Macaca mulatta: one gene and its partners. The protein of the gene in region 1 purifies or fractionates together with the protein of each later gene. This does not show direct contact. Links are inferred from orthologs where the notes say so. Each region holds a gene or a part of one and is shown on either strand. Other genes may lie near its edges.

What was found.
Region 2: the proteins of MBTD1 (region 1) and H2AZ1 purify together in Homo sapiens (affinity purification with mass spectrometry; 3 studies listed by BioGRID and IntAct, with this or other methods). This does not show direct contact. The link is inferred for Macaca mulatta from reciprocal best matches to the Homo sapiens genes MBTD1 and H2AZ1.
Region 3: the proteins of MBTD1 (region 1) and EPC2 purify together in Homo sapiens (affinity purification with mass spectrometry; 3 studies listed by BioGRID and IntAct, with this or other methods). This does not show direct contact. The link is inferred for Macaca mulatta from reciprocal best matches to the Homo sapiens genes MBTD1 and EPC2.

What each region holds. Positions count from the first base shown.
Region 1 is NC_133421.1:58,802,449-58,806,098, forward strand, and holds part of MBTD1 (MBT domain-containing protein 1), read left to right. Parts: intron 1-155; coding exon 156-390; intron 391-1,023; coding exon 1,024-1,079; intron 1,080-1,404; coding exon 1,405-1,509; intron 1,510-2,506; exon of another isoform or gene 2,507-2,749; intron 2,750-3,159; exon of another isoform or gene 3,160-3,472; intron 3,473-3,650. UniProt on the Homo sapiens protein: Chromatin reader component of the NuA4 histone acetyltransferase complex, a multiprotein complex involved in transcriptional activation of select genes principally by acetylation of nucleosomal histones H4 and H2A.
Region 2 is NC_133410.1:109,266,952-109,270,891, reverse strand, and holds H2AZ1 (H2A histone family, member Z), read left to right. Parts: upstream 1-1,253; 5' UTR 1,254-1,309; coding exon 1,310-1,312; intron 1,313-1,742; coding exon 1,743-1,820; intron 1,821-2,098; coding exon 2,099-2,212; intron 2,213-2,545; coding exon 2,546-2,675; intron 2,676-2,955; coding exon 2,956-3,017; 3' UTR 3,018-3,394; downstream 3,395-3,940. UniProt on the Homo sapiens protein: Variant histone H2A which replaces conventional H2A in a subset of nucleosomes. Nucleosomes wrap and compact DNA into chromatin, limiting DNA accessibility to the cellular machineries which require DNA as a template.
Region 3 is NC_133417.1:53,760,077-53,763,726, forward strand, and holds part of EPC2 (enhancer of polycomb homolog 2), read left to right. Parts: intron 1-1,171; coding exon 1,172-1,363; intron 1,364-3,650. UniProt on the Homo sapiens protein: May play a role in transcription or DNA repair.

The DNA of each region.
Region 1 (3,650 bases):
AACATTTTTAAGGAATTGTTTTAATTTTGTGAACCAGATGATGTGTGTTACATTTCAAATGCATTCAGTATTTTTTACAGTATAATACGAAAATTTCTTGTAGACAAGAAATTCTTGTCATGAATTTCGAGCAGTTTTTTTTGTATGCTTTTAAGGTTTCAGAGAGTATGCAGTATCCTTTCAAACCTTGCATGAGAGTAGAAGTGGTTGACAAGAGGCATTTGTGTCGAACACGAGTAGCAGTGGTGGAAAGTGTAATTGGAGGAAGATTAAGACTAGTGTATGAAGAAAGCGAAGATAGAACAGATGACTTCTGGTGCCATATGCACAGCCCATTAATACATCATATCGGTTGGTCTCGAAGCATAGGTCATCGATTCAAAAGATCTGGTAAGCACCTGTCACAAGAACTCCTGTCAAAAGCATCATTGAGGCTGAATTATACTAGTTGGTTATTTTTCTCTGCAGAATTGCACAGATCAAAAATAGCATTCTAGTTTTTTGGGCTGCTTATTCTACCTTAATTAGTGAAGGTTCACACCATGTTAGTGTCCTAATAAATTTTTTTATATTCTTTCCACTTGTTCTCCAAAAGAATGAACTTTTGGTCACAACTACAGTTATTTCTTTCTTTTATTATTCAGCCTATTATTCAGCCCATTTGAAAGATCTAAAGATCCCTTTCCCTTTCCATTCAATTTTAATCAAAATAGCAAGATGAAATGTGGTTAGACTTAATACTAAGCACATGAAAACATGCTTCTAAAGTTGTAATTTTCTAACTAGGGAATTACATTAAAATTATGAGCATTAAAATTGGCTGAATATATTTAAAAGCATATATGCACATGTACCCTGAAGAGAGAAAAGACTATTAAAGAATATTCACCCCAAATGTAGAAGGCATGTCTTTTTGCCATGTTTTATAGTATGACATACCTTGTGAGTTTGAAGCCTTCAAAGAACGTGGTTTTTGGTCTTCTCACAAATGCTGACAGATTAGTGTGTAACTTTTCCTTGTAGATATTACAAAGAAACAGGATGGACATTTTGATACACCACCACATTTATTTGCTAAGGTAAGAAGTTTTTATAAGAACCCTCATTTGTAAATTAGGTTTGAAAGAGGGTTGTGGGTTTTTTCCTAAAATTACGGAAATCACAGTTACATGTGTTCACTTAAAAGAATTAAGACCTTGTAAATTCATAGGTGTCACAACTCTTTATTATAATTATTCTTAAATTCTATTTGTCTGAATTCTCTCTAAACTTTGATGGAAGTTTGAGTTATAATACTAGGTAGGTAGGAGAAGGCACCTGGTAAATCTTTTCACATTGGTAATATTTTAATTATTAAAATAACAACATTTGTAACAGTAGATGTGCTTTCATATAATTCTTTAGGTAAAAGAAGTAGACCAGAGTGGGGAATGGTTCAAGGAAGGAATGAAATTGGAAGCTATAGACCCATTAAATCTTTCTACAATATGTGTCGCAACCATTAGAAAGGTAAGATAATAGGTTTTAAAATATAGAAATGCAATTATAGGATTTGGGTGTAAGCTAATAGAAGGAGTCCCCAAGCATATTCATTTTGACATAAAATGTGTATGTGTGTGTATCTTCACTGGAGAGAAGGTTGCTAGGAATTTCAAAATAAGTTTGAATTCCTGATCTTTCTTATATAGTTTATTGTCAAGATTGTCATTTTGAGTCTGCTACATTTACTTGTGGAAGTATATCCTAATTTAGAGGGAAAATATTTATTTAAGTTACTTCTAGTCAAGGCTAGTCCAATTCAGAATTGTAACAAGGCCAAGTTTATCTTCAGTTTCCTGTGTTTCCTTTTTAGGCCCTTTTCTTCCTTTTGGTGGTAGTTTTTGCTTCTTTTCTCTTTTCCCCCTCATCTGAAACTGCTCGTACAAAAAGACCTAGAAGAGAGATTCTTGGGTTTTGTTTGTTTGTTCATTTTTTTGAGACACAATCTCTCTCTGTCACCTAGGCGGGAGTGCAGTAGTGTGATCACAGGCTCAAGTGACCTTCCCACCTCAGCCTTCAGAGTGGCTGGGATCACTGGTGTGTCCTTTCATGCCTGGCTAATTTTCTTATTTTTATTTTTGTAGGTACAGGGTCTCCCTAGGTTGCCCAGGCTGGTCTCAGACTCCTGGGCTCAGGCAATCCTCCTAAAGTTCTAGGATTATAGACATGAGCCACAGCGCCCAGCTTTTTTTTTTTTTTCTTTTTAAGACATGGTCTCACTCTGTCACCCAGGCTGGAGTGCAGTGGCATGATCTCAGCACACTGCAACCTCTGCCTCCCAGGCTCAAGTGATCCTCCTGCCTCAGCCCCCTGAGTAGCTGGGACTACAGGTGCTGGCTAATTTTTATATATTTTGTAGAGATGGGATTTCACCATATTGCCCAGGCTGGTCTCGAATTCCTGGACTCAAGTGACCCACCTGCCTCGGCCTCCCACAGTGCTGGGATTACAGGCATGAGCCACCACGCCTGGCCTTTCCTTTTTTTTTTTTTTTCCCTGAGATGGTGTCTCGCCCTGTCACCCAGGCTGTAGTGCAGTGGCGTGATCATAGCTCACCACAGCCTTGAGCTCAAGCAGTTCTCCCACTTCAGCTTCCTGAGCAGCTGGCACTACAGGCACAAGCCACCACACCCAGCCAGTTTTTTGTTGTTGTTGTTTTCTTTAGCAATAGGGTCTCACTGTATTGCCCAGGATAGTCTCAAACTCCGGAGCTCAAGCAGTTCTCCTGCCTCAGCTGAGTAGCTGGAATTACAGGCAGGGGCCACCTGCCTGGCTAACATTGGCGGTTTTTTAAGGCCCCAGGTGAATATCATGTACAGCCATGGTCTAGAACCACCTAAGGAAAATCTGCTTACATAAAGGTGTAACTTAAGTCATAATTTGCATTTCAACGGTTTAAAACCTTGAGCTAAAAGAAAAACAATTATGATGGCCTGGGCATGGTAGCTCACACCTGTAATCCCAGCACTTTGGGAGGCTGAGGCGAGCAGATCACAAGGTCAGGATATCAAGACCATCCTGTCTAATACGGTGAAACCCCATCTCTACTAAAAATACAAAAAATTAGCCAAGCGTGGTGGCGTGCGCCTGTAGTCCCAGCTACTTGGGAGGCTGAGGCAGGAGAATCACTTGAACCCAGGAGGTGGGGGTTGCAGTGAGCCGAGATGGCGCCACTGCACTCCAGCCTGGGCGACAGAGCGAGACTCCATCTCAGAAAAGGAAAAAGAAAAACAATTATGATGACTGCCATGTCACATGGTCAAACAGCTGGACAAGACTGGCTCCAAACCCTGTTCCTCCTCTTTTCCTGACTAGTGATCAGAATGACCCAGTAAGATTTAAAACAGGCCGAGGCAGGCAGATCACAAGGTCAGGAGTTCGAGACCAGCCTGGCCAATATGGTGAGACCCCATCTCTACTAAAAACACAAAAATTAGCTGGGCATGGTGGCAGGCGCCTGTAGTTCCAACTGCTCGGGAGGCTGAGGCAGAAGAATTGCTTGAACCCAGGAAGGGGAGGTTGCAGTGAGCTGAGATTGCACCACTGCATTCCATCCTAGGCAACAGAGCAAGACTGTCTCAAAAAAAAAAAAAAAAAATTTAAAACACTGA
Region 2 (3,940 bases), on another chromosome or scaffold:
TGTTAAAAAGTATAATGCACTAAAACACTACAAATGAGATTGAGACACTACTGTCCCCAAGCAGCTGGAGATATACGTAGGTGTTAATAATCTACTAGTTGGAAGGATAGTACTGTGTGTACAGTATCATTATTTTAACCTCATCATTTGCAGTTGATTGCATTGCACCGACCCTCTGTAACTGCCTGTGAATCATGTCAGAGTTACTCCGTCGACATTTGCCGAACATTTGTCATGTGGCAAAATATTTATTGTAGAAAAGTTGACACATAATAGCTCTGAGGTTTCACTAAATGAGCTTTACACATCAGGCTACAGGTACAACTCATTGATGTGTAGTCTCCAAAAAATACGGTTTATGATTTAAGAATACTGCCTCGCCAGAAGCTCCTTAAGTGTAAACAAAAAGGGTTTCGTGACCAGTGAGGTGACTTGGCTTCACCGTTTGCTGTTACAGAACTATTCCGTGGGGGATTTCATAAGTAGTGAGGGAGAGGTGGAAGACCCGGCTGAAAATAAAGTGGGAGCAACCCGTCCTGATCTGTTGTTGGTGACTGGGGATTCGCCTAGAGGGAAGAAACACGGAATCTCTACTAAGGCTGAGGAAGGCGTCAGGGCAAACCTCAGCCTCCCCTCACTGGACGCGTTCGCGCCACCTGTCAGACTGGAAGAGCCGCCAGGGATTGAGAGGGTCGGGAGAGGGTGCCCGGGGCCCCGGAAGGCGGCTGCAGGTCGCAGGTCTCCGCCCGAGAGGCGCTGGGGGTGGGGTTGGGAGCGGTGGGGGCTGCGTGCTAGATACGGACGAGACTTCACGTGGTCTCCAAAGCCCTGCTAGGGGACCCGGGGCGCTACCGCGCGCCCCTCCCCTGAGGTCTCAGCTCCTCCTCCCCGGCACGTGACCGCAGCTGGCTGGTAACTGCGCTCCCGCAGAGTAGCTTGCTCTGTTTCTTCCCTCCCGCCGCGGTGCCCTTCTTCTCCCCCGTTCCCATCCCTCCGCCCTCCCCCGCTTCGCTCCTCACGTCCCAATCGCGGCTTGAGCTTAGAAGCGCCCGCCCCTCCACCCTTTTCTTTGCTTGCTCATTGGCTGAAGTCTCAAGGACGCGTCCCGAGGGCGGGTGGCAGCCATTGGTGGGATGAGCAATCCGAGTTCCCGGATGAGGGAACATTCTGCAGTATAAAGGGAGCAGGGAAGGCGGGAGACAGCGCAGTTTGAATCGCGGTGCGACGAAGGAGTAGGTGGTGGGATCTCACCGTGGGTCCGATTAGCCTTTTCTCTGCCTTGCTTGCTTGAGCTTCAGCAGAATTCGAAATGGTAAACTTCGCAGAGACGCTCGATGACTTCGCGGGTTTTTGCCGGCGGGAGAAAAACCCGTTACACGGGGGATGGGGGTGAAGTGGCGACGGTTGGGAACGCGCGGAGACAGGATTAAGAAGAGCGGGGGGAGGTGTTTTGTCGGCTGCTAGCGGAGCAGCCTCGGATCTCGCGGCGGGCGGCGACGGTTGGGTGGCGCGCGCAGCGCCGCTGGGGGCCGGCGGGCGGGCGGAGGCGCGCGGCCGCGGCGAGCGCGCGGCGGGGGGCGGACGGGCGGGGTCGCCCCTGCGGCGCGCCGCGGGCCAGAGACCCCGGCGGGGTGCGGGGACGCGCTCGCGGCGGGACGCGCCGCGGTGGGGGATGGGCGCGCCGCCTTGGTAATTCTATATTCTCCGTTCCTCCTCCGCTCGCGGGCGTGTGCGCGCCGCAGGCTGGCGGTAAGGCTGGAAAGGACTCCGGAAAGGCCAAGACAAAGGCGGTTTCCCGCTCGCAGAGAGCCGGCTTGCAGGTCAGTAGTTGTTCGTGCGGTCTGGGAGTCGTGATGTTTTTCTTTGCATCTCCTTTTTTGTTATTCACCGCTCTCCATGGGCGTTTCGTCTATGCGTGGGTGATGCGGTGTCGCGACTTGGGCTGCCCATACGATAAATATGGGGGGGAGGAATCACGTGTTTCGATGTCGGGACGCGTTGCTGCGCCCGTGCCACTTGCTTTGGCGCGCATATAATTTCCCCATCTCTAGTTCTCCTATTTTTGTGCATTTATGTTTGTGTATGCTTAAAATTTAAGTTCCCAGTGGGCCGTATTCATCGACACCTGAAATCTAGGACGACCAGTCATGGACGTGTGGGCGCGACTGCCGCTGTGTACAGCGCAGCCATCCTGGAGTACCTCACCGCAGAGGTAAATGGGTGAACGCCTATAATCCGGAGAAGGTTTGGGGGGCGGGGAGACGGCAAGAGGGAAGGAGGAAAGTGATGCAAGAAAACTCACAGGCCCTGAACGCGGCGAGAGGCCTAAGAGAACGCTAGAGGGAGCTGCTGTTCAACAAGGATCCTACTGAGCTTGAGTTCTCTGCTCTTGGAATTAAAATTGCGTGCCCCCTGTATATCTTGCCAGTCAGATAGTGGGGAACGACTCCAGTTGGTAGATAAGCGTTTGTGAGGGTTTTATTCTGTTCTCTGAATCTTGGCCAAAGGAAAGTTGGAAGGGAACTGATTAGATTCTGCCTTCTAGGTACTTGAACTGGCAGGAAATGCATCAAAAGACTTAAAGGTAAAGCGTATTACCCCTCGTCACTTGCAACTTGCTATTCGTGGAGATGAAGAATTGGATTCGCTCATCAAGGCTACAATTGCTGGTGGTGGTATGTTAACTTCTAAAATTTTTAAAAATTTCTTCAGAGGAAGGAATTCTTTGCTGCTTTAATTTCATTAGTTTTTCTAGAAGAGAAAATTTAAGTATATTTTCATTGATGCAAGTATGGTTTTATCATGAAATTTGATTCATATGTATAACTGAATTTTTACTTCATACTTGAGCTGCACGTTTTTAAAGATACTTGAACAGTATACTTTTTTTGGTTTCAAATACTGTGATTTTAAAAAAAAAATCTTAAGTAGAATTAATTCCTGTCACTCTCCTAGGTGTCATTCCACACATCCACAAATCTCTGATTGGGAAGAAAGGACAACAGAAGACTGTCTAAAGGATGCCTGGATTCCTTGTTATCTCAGGACTCTAAATACTCTAACAGCTGTCCAGTGTTGGTGATTCCAGTGGACTGTATCTCTGTGAAAAACACAATTTTGCCTTTTTGTAATTCTATTTGAGCAAGTTGGAAGTTTAATTAGCTTTCCAACCAACCAAATTTCTGCATTCGAGTCTTAACCATATTTAAGTGTTACTGTGGCTTCAAAGAAGCTATTGATTCTGAAGTAGTGGGTTTTGATTGAGTTGACTGTTTTTAAAAAACTGTTTGGATTTTAATTGTGATGCAGAAGTTATAGTAACAAACATTTGGTTTTGTACAGACATTATTTCCACTCTGGTGGATAAGCTCAATAAAGGTCATATCCCAAACTAGTTGTGTATTAAATTGGCTTGATTGTAATATGAATTTGTTTTGAATATCTAGCAGCAATAACTAAGCACATTTCTTTGTGACTGACCTGTCAAATCTAGATCAACAAAGTGAGATAGACCAAGTATATATTTTTAATGTTATATAATAAGCTACTAAAGTTTTAATTTAAAAAGTTGTCAGGAGCTGGAGTGGGAGCATTTCAGTTTGTGCATTGACTTTGCTTGCTGTGTGACAGCACTGCACTAGTATGCTGTTAGTGTGGTGGACTTGGGGAGGGAGAGAATAGGTAGGAATGTCCTGTATATCCACATAATGAACTCCGAATTTAAACTCTGAAGCTAATAGTGCTACGTGCTAGGCCCTGCTTTGAAGTCTGAAATTGAAATTGTTAAGTGCTCAGTAACATCATTGGGGATATACTATCTCCATTTTATTGAAGAGAAGCAGGCTTTCTTATTTGAAAGTACCGAGTTCTGGTGGTAGTTGGAATTAACAGCTTGGCTCACAGCATTTTGTAAAAATCGTTACCTTGTTGGGTTGAGCAG
Region 3 (3,650 bases), on another chromosome or scaffold:
TTTGTAAGTTACTTTTAAAAATCCATTTTGTGTTAATCAGTGCTTTTCCTAGGTATGTGATTGTTAAGCATTGCAGTATGAAAATCTTAACCCATAATTACTGACAGAATCAGCCTTTATTAGATATTGATTCTCATTTTAGACTTCCTCTATGAATAAATACTCAGCCTTCCTAAATACTAACTTTAGGAATTTGGTTGCATCCATTGTTGTCCTACTCCATTACACATAGTTAACTATATTTACTTTGTCATGTATTCCACTTGAAAATGTGGGAAGTTTCTGAAAGTTGGGGCTTTGTTTTTGATGTAATAGTTATGCCCATTATATGAAAAATTTTATATCTCACTAAATATAATTTGCCTTTCAAACAATATTTTTATTGTGTGTACTGTTTTTGACCCTAAAGTAGTTAACATCTGGACTAGATGTGGAAAAGTATAAGTTTTGTAGTTTGTACCTTGGTGCTTGGAACAGTCTTTTCCAACTTTTAAAGTGGCAGATCCCTTTTTATTAAAAGGAATGCCAGTATGTTAAAACAGTAACAGAGCTGCTCTGTTGAGGGGAGGTAGGGGCACTACCCCTTCAGTGAGTGTCTTTGCCAGATGGCCTCTCAGGAACCTCCACAGAAGCCTGCGGGACTTCAGAACAGTTACTGTTCGGTTGCTGCAGTAATTATACATTCTAAAAAGTGAGGGGTTTTTTTTCCTAGTTAAGCTTATTTTTCTCAAAAGATTTACATCCATAGAACACACATTTTAAAAAATTGGATCTAAGTGTAGAAATGACAATAAACTCATGATCCAGTTGAAGAAACTTAAAAATAGTGATTAATTTTTATCAGTGCAGCAGATTTAAATAAAAATTGAATTTAAATACCTTTTAAATACTGGATTACATAATAGAGCAATCCAAAAAATTCCTCACATAGTTTAAAGTAGTAATAATAATGTAAAAAGCAAATTTAAATACCATAATTATTTTTCATCATAAGTTGCAGAAAGTAAAACATGTTTCAATTTATGAACACAGAATAATTTTTGCATATTAAAAATAATAAAATCACCTCCTGGGTAAAAATGTATGTTTTTCAAAGAGCAGTATAGTTTTTCATGATTTCTAAAATGATTTTTATTTCTTCCTTTTGGGGGAAAAATCGTCATGTAAACAGCACCCTCATCATTTGTCTTTGAAAGAAGAGGCTTCTGATGTGGTTCGTCAAAAGAAGAAGTACCCAAAGAAGCCTAAAGCAGAGGCTTTGATAACATCTCAGCAACCCACTCCAGAGACATTGCCTGTGATCAATAAGAGTGACATTAAGCAATATGACTTTCACAGCTCAGATGAAGATGAATTTCCACAGGTGCTTGTTTTAAAACTATTTTAAAGATATTTCCTGCTAGTATTTTGTATTGTTATATTTTTAAAGCAATTGCTATCTTAGAGTTTTTATTCTTGCTTTGTTCCCCTAATGTATGTAGCATAAACATTTCCACATTATTTATGTAGCCACTGAAATGGTATTTACTCTGTATTATCTTTCATCAGTTGTATAGAATTTACTCTCTTGTGGAGCACATGGTTTTCAGTTTTTCCATTTATAAAAATGAACTTAGATCTTTTCCCTCTGTATTTAAAATAGATTCTTAGTAATTGAATTACTAGTTACTAACCAAAAATTATCAATATTTTAAGACAGTTAATATATAATTGTAAATATTGAAAATATCAACAATACTTTCCTTTTTACCACACTCCACCAGCATTGTGTTTTATAACTTTTAATGCAAATTTTGCTAATTTGTTAGGTAATGGCTGTTTGATTTTAAAAAAGACTTAAAGGGACTGATTCAGATTTTAACTCTTTGATAAATATTGCAACAGCTTTATAGAAAAATGTGCACAATTAAAAAATATTTATTTTTATAAGTGCTGTTTTTAAAATAAGACTTTTACTTTATATATTAAAAGATCCGGCCGGGCGCGGTGGCTCACGCCTGTAATCCTAGCACTTTGGTAGGCCAAGGCGGGCAGATCACAAGGTCAGGAGATCGAGACCATCCTGGCTATCACAGTGAAACCCCGTCTCTACTAAAAATACAAAAAATTAGCCAGGCATGGTGGCGGGTGCCTGTAGTCCCAGCTACTCAGGAGGCTGAGGTAGGAGAATGGCGTGCGCCCGGGAGGCAGAGCTTGCAGTGAGCTGAGATCGTGCTACTGTACTCCAATCTGGGCGACAGAGCAAGACTCTGTCTCAAAAAAACAAACAAACAAAAAGAAAGATCCATTTTTTCAAAAAATATTGTGTATCACCTGCTCTAGCAATACCATCTTTTTAAAAATAGCATAGGAAACTTAACAGAAAATACTGTAACAAAGACCTTGAACCTACTGCCAGCTTTATCATATTTTAACTTTTTGACTTGTTTGCTTTAAGGAAACTTTTTTTAAAAAACCAACATTATAGATATGTTTGAAAGCAGGACTGTTTATAAAACTCTTCATTGCTATAACCATTTAAAATCTGGAGTTTGCATAAAATGTGTCCCTTTTGGCTGGATTATACTAGTTTTACTCTTTTTTTTCACTGATTAGTTTTTCTACCCAGATAATATTCTGATAGTCATGAATAGTATCAAATGTGCAAAGATATGCTTAATTTTATTCCTTGAGGAGTGCTTAATGAACCCATATATTACTTTTGTCAGAGGATCATCTAGTTTGACTCAGGCAGAGCTTTGAACAGCCATGGGACATTCATCAGATGACCAGTTTGAAGGAATGAGGGATATAGTGCCTTACAAAAGAGTAATTTTCAAGATAGAAAGTATAGGGAAGGGTTCTAGGCACAACATACTAGAGGGAACTCCTAGCAGTTTAGCATTGCTGGAGCACATAACATAGAAGAGGAAGAGGGGATGAAAGGCTTGATGCCTGCAGTAATACCCAGATGTCAGATAGCCTCTATCTACATTATACATAATGGGAAATTATTTAAAATGTTAAGTAAGAAAATGACATAGTTAGATAACTGTATGTAAAATAGGCTTTTATTGGTGGTACTAATGAGAGCCTAGAAAGTTTTGCTATATATTCCCAGCCCTTTAAGAATGATGCTGCAGCCGGGCGCGGTGGCTCACGCCTGTAATCCCAGCACTTTGGGAGGCCGAGATGGGCGGATCACGAGGTCAGGAGATCGAGACCATCCTGACTAACACGGTGAAACCCCGTCTCTACTAAAAATACAAAAATTAGCCGGGCGCGGTGGCGGGCGCCTGTAGTCCCAGCCACACGGGAGGCTGAGGCAGGAGAATGGCGTGAACCCGGGAGGCGGAGCTTGCAGTGAGTGGAGATCGCGCCACTGCACTCCAGCCTGGGAGACAGAGGGAGACTCCATCTCAAAAAAATAAATAAATAAATAAATAAAAAAGAATGATGCTGCAGACTGGGCATTGTGGCTCACGCCTGTAATCCCAGCACTTTGGGAAGCCAAAGCAGGTGGATTGCTTGAGCCCAGGACTTGGAGACCAGCCTGGGCAACATGGTGAAACCCCATCTTTACCAAAAAAACAGAAACAAAAGTACAAAAATTAGCCAGGTGTGGTGACACATGACCGTAGTTCCAGCTACTCTCGGAGGCTGAGACGGGA